Caenorhabditis elegans: one gene and its partner. The protein of the gene in region 2 interacts with the protein of the main gene of each other region in a pairwise test. Each region holds a gene or a part of one and is shown on either strand. Other genes may lie near its edges.

Region 1 (3,610 bases), on a different chromosome or scaffold from region 2:
TGTCAAAGCCTCCGGTCAACGGCTGTATCTTCAAATTGCCCGTCCACACAGTATCCCTCAACAATGAAAAGACTAGTACTGTAGACCCTCTCTCACACACTTCTCCCTGTTACAACATACGTGATATTTTAGTCTTGTAGGTGATCAAACACTCAATTCGTTTCGATTTCCGGGTTTTACACTCTTTCCCTTCATATTCGTCGTTCATTTTCTGACGAACTTCTAATAATATTCTAGCATTCCTACCTTCAAAAGTGCTCAATGTTATTCGTACCGCTTCCCCCTTAAAATTATTTCCTTGTTTTTTTCTTGATTCGAATCCTCTCCCCCAACTTTCAACACAACTCAGGTTTCCATATTTTTTTCTTAATTTTTTTTGAATTTTTTTTTTTGAAATATAGGCGAGCAATTTTATGCATTTTGTAGGCAGTCAATTATGTCTCGCCTCTTCTGTCAAACTCTGCAGGGTACTTTTTTGAAATGTTTTTCTTTTTGAAGTTTTACCGTTTTTTTTTTTGAAAACTATTCAATTCGTTCCAAACATGCTGAATATCTAGTCGTTTTACACCCATTTGCAAAGTATGCGGTGATATTATTTCCTTAAGTTTAGTGTTCTATCTTTTAGTCCTTATTTTGGATCTTTCATTGTTTTATTTTTGGATAATTTCCCACGCATGAATAGTATATAATAAACTGTTTTTCTTGTGTTTATTGTTTTTTTTTAATATTTCATAAATATTCCAATTAGTCGAGTAACCTCCCACCAGGAAGTTCAATAATTTTTTAAGATCGTTACAATAAAACTGTTGAGGTTAGTCAGGAAAAAAAATGTTATAGCGTGTGTGAGGAGGTGAAATTGCTAGCAAAATAGATTTTTTGACGGATAAAATCTACAACAGTAAGTAAGTGCATTCCGTTACAATGCGAGATTTGAATTTTGGTACAGATAAAGGGTTCGTTGGGGAAATAATTATTGTATCTTATCAATTTCTTGCAGCAAACTTCAACAAATTTTAGAAACTTTGGTAATGCCAAAAAAAGTTGATGAGGTTGGTTGAGGCTTTTTGCTGAAATTAGCCTTTTGGAAAATAATTTTTGGGAAGAAATATACGATTTCAAATAATTAGAAGATAAAAAGAAACTGTTCGTAGCGCAATAATTAAAATATAGGGACCATTATTTATGTACCTTGTGAGGACGGGCGATTTGAAGATACAGTCGTTGACCAGATGCTTTGACCGATTTCACCACCGAGCGCTGAAGTAAGTGACAAATATAGATATCGGATATCTAAATGTTTGTTATAAATATAAACTAGTTAGTCTTGCTCGCATCTTGCACAAATTTCCCCCTTAGAAAATTTTTTCAATTTCAGTCAGTTTTTGGATAATTTTATTGTGTCTCCTATTTGTTGTATCATTCTTACCTGATCCAAAATTGGACGTCCATTGACCGCCAAAATACGATCTCCAACTTTCAATTTCTCAGCGGCAACCGATCCAGGTACTACAGTGGTTATGAGGATTCCACGATCTCTTACCCCGACTCCCATTCCGATTTTCCGATTGGCATCCTGAGAAAAATCTATGAAAGTATAATGGAAGTGTTGATGAAAACCTTCTGAAGCTTGACAAGTAATGTATCACAACCCTCTTCTTTCAAATCGGAAATGATTCCGACAGCGAGTGAACTGTACTCATAACTGCTCAATGTGATAGTTGATGGTGGACTAGGTGGTTGTCTTCGGTGAATTTTTATCTGTAGTATTATTAAATATGTTTCATAAGCTCTTTAGGATGTTTTATATGTTTTATACTTGAAAATTGTTTCAAAAATTGTCAAGCAAAGGGGCAGTATTTTTGAATAATAATCCTAATGTTCAATAATTATTTTTCCACAAAACGATTAATTACCGGAAAGCAGCAAGTGATTCGTCGCATTGTTCTGGAATCCGTAGAAAGTTATGGTCCAAACTGATAGTAAAAATCTTTCATCAGAAAATGATTACTCTCAACTTTATATTTATACCTTCCCGGCTCAAACTTTACCTCTCCAATTAACATTATATTTCATTGTTTTTGAATAAATCATATTTACCCTCTGATCATTTTCATGAGATCATAGGGTAACGCGTGATATATTGAACATTTATATAATTATGAATCACAATAGTCATCACTTTAGGGACTTTTTTGTTGCTAACAATCTCAAATAAATTATTTAGTATGATCAGAGAAGGGGTTTCCAAACTGAGATGAGTAAGAATGACGTTAAAAAACTTGCATGCCTACAGTCTAGAAGTTCTTAATTTTTTTTACTTGTTCTAAATCAACTTGAAAGTTCTCACAATCAGTAAATAATTGCAAATATATATTTAAAATTAGTGAAATATAATCTAAGAAAATGTCAGCTGCTACCAAAATTCTGTTCTAACCAGATTTTCGCAAATATTATCTGTCAAACGTTAAAAATAAAAACAAAAAGTTAAAATTTTCTTCCATATAAAATTTGTTAATTTTGTAGTTCCGACTGGTTTGTGCCTTATATCTTACCTTGTGCGGAGTTTGAAAAATCATTTCCGCTCCTTTTTTTAAAGTTTTAATAATTTCGAGGTTAACATGCGTAAAAATATGTCTCATTTCAAAAAAGAAGATCAGACAAGCTAACATTGTTTGAAACTAGATGTGTCATGGAAAAAAAATCATTCAGAATTTTTATTCGGCAAAAAATCGAATTTTTCACAAAATATAAATTTGACTCCTTTTTAAAAAATGTATGATAATTTTGAAAGTTGCCAAAATTCAAAAAAAAATTGCACATAGCTGAATTTTAACCCTTTTTTTCTAGCTTTTTCTTGTACCTAAGTTCGGTTTTTGGGAAATTGATCTGAAGATTTTCTGACGCACCACACTTTTTTTAAAGTCTTTTTCTAAAAAATTTCAATTATTTTTCTCATTTTCAATTCGCTCTTTAAATGTTGTTATTCCTTCCCAGGAAAAAATTGGACTGTCATGTTTTGTACGAAAATTCCCTGACTTGAATACTTTAGATTTTTATTTTTGTATTTGTATTTAATCTGGAATATTCCTTTTTCACGAGCACTTGATTTCAAAATTGTATTTCTATTGCTTTCAGAATGTACATAATTCTACAAAACTTCTCATTGTAGCGTGTAAACAGATCCTGTTTTCCCCCGTTAATTTAAGACAGAACAATTCTTCGAACAATTTTTTCTGAATCCCTTTCCTCTTTCTATTCCCTTCTACTACCTTTTCTTCGAATTCTCACTCCATTTGAGCCACGAATCGTTGTCAAGGAGACTCTGTGTTGTCAGAAGCAGAAGACACCGAAAGAAACGAGCCTCCGTGTGAATGTAATTCAGGTTTTGGATTTCCGAAAAACGAAGAATGTGAATTAACTTTTTTCGTACGGCATTTTCTATTTCCATCTTTCCTCTTTTTTCAAAAAATCACCTGTTCCTCTGCCCACATCAAACTCACATACTTCTGTCATCTTGCTCTCTTTTAGCCAAACTTGTTTGAAATTGAATCGGCGAAAATGCCAATTGATAAGTATAAATTAAGTTTGAATAAAGTATAAACTGGGGTTC
Region 2 (4,372 bases):
GTATTAATTTTACAAGCTCCTTGCTGTCGACATTCGAATTTTTTTCCCAGAGCCACAGTTCTTCGGAAAAATGCGGCACAAGCTCTTAAATTAAAATTGTTATTGTAACTTAAACAATAATATTCTTATGAGGTTATTTAAGCAATGTAGCAAAATGTATTTAAATACATGTTTTTATATACTTGAATACAGTTGCGTCGTAATTTTTCTACACTTTAATTTTCCGATATTACTTGAATAACCCCATTATTTGAAACCAACCTGCACGCATCGAGACCAAAGTGATGACCATCCCCAACATCGCCACAAATTGCACAGTTCGGTTTTTTTGTTTCCTTTTGTGATAATCCTTGTTCAAAAAATTGGAAATTCAATGAATCCATAACTTCATAATATTATAAGTGAGTGCAATAGAAATAGAAACACAGACAAAAAGTAGAAAGATACGAACAAGAGAATACGTTGCCTGGTCCAAGTGAGAGAATTGAGATACTGCCTACGTTTGTAGCCTTTGTGACCTGTTGAGACTTGTTTTTTCTTATCGGGTACAACCAAAACTCTCTTACAAAATCGTGCTATTTTCAAGTATGAAGCCAAACTACAATAACTACATTTTTATGTTCAAAGGGTCAGAAGATTGGAAACTGTTTTCTACTTAAACTTATTTTAAGAGTAACAACTAACGGATAGAGCATATTTTCATATTTTCTAGGGAATTACCATTTTCATTTTGTTTAAATTTGCTAGTTCATGTACACAGTTAAAATTTGAAATTGAAAAGCGGAGTTTTCAACAAAACAATCATAAGTGATATTCCAAAATTTTGACCGAGAAAGTTTAATTAATACTTATTTATTTAATTTTTCGAAAAAGATCACAGCTATTAGTTACAAGGTTTCAATGAAAGATGGACAAAAGTATATCACAGATAGAAAAACCACAATCAATTAAATTTTCCATTTATAATATTGACGAAATTCTCAGGTAGAGCATAAATATTGAAGATATTAGCCATTTCGATGTCCTCTTGGAAACGGCGAACTGCTCTCTGGAATAAAAATAGTTAAACACCGTACTTTCGATTTTTCAATGAATAATTTATCAAAAAATTACCTGTAAGCTTGGCAGAATAGACACGACACTTGCCATCCTATAAAGTGGTTCTTCGTGTTTCTTAACATTTCTCAAATAAAAAGTCATTTCTCTTGTAACTCGATGTTTGACTCGTCGTCCAACTTCATTACACTCATCAGACTGTCCTTCCAATCCAAAATCCCAGAACAACATAACGCATAATGCAAAAAACTCGTAAGAATCTACATTTTCCAATCGCATCAAGTTGATAAGACTCCTCTTTTGTAATTCGAATGACGGCCTAATCAGTCTGCAAAGTCTGAAGTACCACTGTCAGGACAACGTTTCATGAACGGAACATTTACTTACTTTGCAATTTCTGCAGGAGTACCACCTGTTCCACTATTGCATTCTTTGAAAAATCCTTCAAGATTATCGTAGTCAATATAGTCTTTTGAAGCCATTACAACAATTCCATCACGTCCTGAAATCATTCATGTTTTAAAGTTTTGATTTCTCGTATTAGTTTTCAAAAAAAAACTCACCACTTTTGACAGTCATGAATGCTCTTTCAAGCATACAGAAAAACACAAAAAAGTTTTGAAACAAAATCGTTTTCTGATCAACAGGTAATAATCCAAAATCGTCAAAACACCATTCGATCCAATCAGCAACTAATGAAACTTCCTTTGTTGTTACTTCAGTTGCCTCTCGAAATGTGATTGCTCTTGGAACTTTTTGTTGAAATATATTTTCTCCTTCTCTTCGATGAATCACATTCCTTGCATTTTCCATTTTATCATAATTAATTCTCATTCTTTCGAGAAGAGGCATCGTTTCAAGAGATGGTGAAGAACTGAGTCCAGGAAGCGATGCAGGGGAGAATGCCGAAAAATTACTGATTGGTGTATCTTTGAATATTGAAAAATCCATAAAGTTGGATGTTGATGGAACAGCTGAAGCCTGTGGAACAATATTAAAATTTGGAATTGGTCGTCTGATTTCAGTTTTTGAAGTATCAAATTGAAGATCAGCTTTGGGAGTATCGTTTTCTCGACGATTCTGAACACATTCTGGATTCATTCCAACTTCTATACATTTGTCATATCGACACGAGCGGCACATGCATCGAATATCTGAAAGAAGAAAACAAATAATTTGAAAAATGATCGCTATACTTACTCGAAGAAACTTCACAGTTTCTGCCTGCTCTGCATTCATATTTCTTTGAAAGTGCCACGCTCCGTCGGAAAAATGCAGTACATGCTCTTAAAGTTTTTTGGAAATTATAAGTGTTAAGCTATTAGAACTTTCAATTGAGATCTTGTTAAAAAATAATTGGAAAAAGTTAATCAAATATATAAATGAATTTTAAAAATTCTTGAAGTCGATTGCCCGATAAACTTTTCAATTACTAAAACAACCGGTGATCAATAAAAAATCAAAAAGGTACCTGCAAGCTTCTGCTCCAAAATGTAATCCATCTCCAACTTCATTGCAAACCGCACAATTTGGTTTTTCATACCTTCCACGAAATTGAGTATTAGGAGTAATTGACGTAGTCGGTGTTTCCGTTCCAAGTTTTTCTGTAGTCGTGAATGAAGCAAGAAAAGGTTCTGTTTTTTGTTCCTGAGGTATCTGCTCCATTTTGTGAAAATTTTTATTTTCCTGAAAATATTAAGATTTTGTAACGAAAAATTATTATATCAAAAATTGAAAAATGTAGAAAATAAAAAGGTGAGAAATAAGAGAAAATAGAGGCGAGACACGTTTGTGTGGCCAAATGTATTGGAGTGTATTGACAGAGAAGACTACAAAGAAGAGAAATAGTGTGCGTGAGACGGCTAGGTTGTAGTTTGTAGCCTGGTTCGTAGCGAGATCACAGAACAGAGAATAGCGTATTTGTAGTGTCTGCGTCTCATGTATTATTGATTGAGTTTCTAGAAAGATAACGGTGATGATGACATTTCAACTACCTGACTACAAAATATATCTTACGACAAAAGTGACTTTATGTTTGTTACTAAATAACAAGAAACAACACAACTCATATTTCAATTTTTAATTTAGGCAAAAAATGGCATAAAAAACAGACTATAAAACAAACAAATAATTTTCTCTAATTCTATGATTCCGAAACTTTTGATATTCAATCTAGAATGCTCGTTTAACTTTCTGATCGAATAATATGCACATGAAAATTCACGAATTAATACTATTTTTTCGGCACTCCTCCACAGCAGCGCAAACCAATTTTTGATATCCCCAATAAAAGCGGTACCGAAATTCGAATTTTAATCTTGATCCGCAAACCTAATGGTTTAAAAGCTAGACCATGTCTATGATTTCTAATGGGACTTTTTTTTGTTTCATACTCATTTATGCACAGGATAACATACATTCTTGTTTCAATAGAAAAAAATCCTCAACTTTCGGGCAAAATAATTTTGAATTTAAAGTTCTTCAACAAAATCAAATTTTGAAATTTTTAGCTAATTACTGTGCAAACATTAAACATTCCTTCAATGTTTCATCTGACTTACAAAATTGTCATTTAACTAGTATGATGTTTCGTATTAATTCCGAGATTTATGGTAACCTGATATTTGGAATTTCTGAAAATTGTCTTATACGTCTTGTATTATATATTTACTAATGAACACCAGTAGGATGTAGTATGAATTTTCTGTTTGAATTCCTGTGATAAAGTTGTTTTAGTTTTTGACCAGCTTGGCTTGATGCGATAATATCAAAATAAATGGGTGTAACATTTTGTACTGGGCACTGACATGTGTCCATTCTGCCAGACTCTCAACAACAACGTAGTTGAGCTCAGCATCCGCTTATTCGTGAAAGCATCCTTTTATTCAATTTTTAACCTGATATTAAATCCTTCTAATTTGAAATGTCTCAAGATAATTTGTCTGCTGTCCTCTACGGAATAAACGATTTACGTCTTGAACAAGCTCCAATTTCCAAACCGGGACCAAGACAAGTTCTTGTTAAAATTAATACTGTTGGTATTTGTGGAAGTGATGTACACTTTTTGACACACGGAGCAATTGGATCATTTGTTGTTAAAGAACCGATGGTGAGAAATATAAAAGTAATTTTATAGTGTTACCGTGAGTAATTCAACCCTTTTATTTTGACAGAACACATGTATAGTACAACCTCCTTTTTTTAATCAAAATAATCAATTTTAAAATAAAATATTTCTGTTAAAAAACTCCAGTGAACAAAAAAGTGTATTTAAAAATTAAAAAAAAAAGTTTTCAGGTTTTAGGCCATGAGAGTT

The links.
Region 1: the proteins of nhr-12 (region 2) and C52A11.3 interact in a two-hybrid assay, tested with the Caenorhabditis elegans proteins (one large-scale study listed by BioGRID).

What each region holds. Positions count from the first base shown.
Region 1 is NC_003280.10:10,735,732-10,739,341, reverse strand, and holds C52A11.3 (PDZ domain-containing protein C52A11.3), read right to left. Parts: upstream 1,984-3,610; 5' UTR 1,941-1,983; coding exon 1,914-1,940; intron 1,759-1,913; coding exon 1,618-1,758; intron 1,574-1,617; coding exon 1,427-1,573; intron 1,258-1,426; coding exon 1,177-1,257; 3' UTR 714-1,176; downstream 1-713. Other genes in the region: mpz-1 (PDZ domain-containing protein), read left to right, coding at 1-67.
Region 2 is NC_003283.11:10,081,302-10,085,673, forward strand, and holds nhr-12 (Nuclear receptor), read right to left. Parts: upstream 2,749-4,372; 5' UTR 2,722-2,748; coding exon 2,528-2,721; intron 2,343-2,527; coding exon 2,257-2,342; intron 2,211-2,256; coding exon 1,620-2,210; intron 1,559-1,619; coding exon 1,444-1,558; intron 1,394-1,443; coding exon 1,114-1,393; intron 1,049-1,113; coding exon 944-1,048; 3' UTR 832-943; downstream 1-831. Other genes in the region: nhr-205 (Nuclear Hormone Receptor family), read right to left, coding at 1-84, 262-383; R04B5.6 (Sorbitol dehydrogenase), read left to right, coding at 3,980-4,165, 4,354-4,372. UniProt on the Caenorhabditis elegans protein: Orphan nuclear receptor.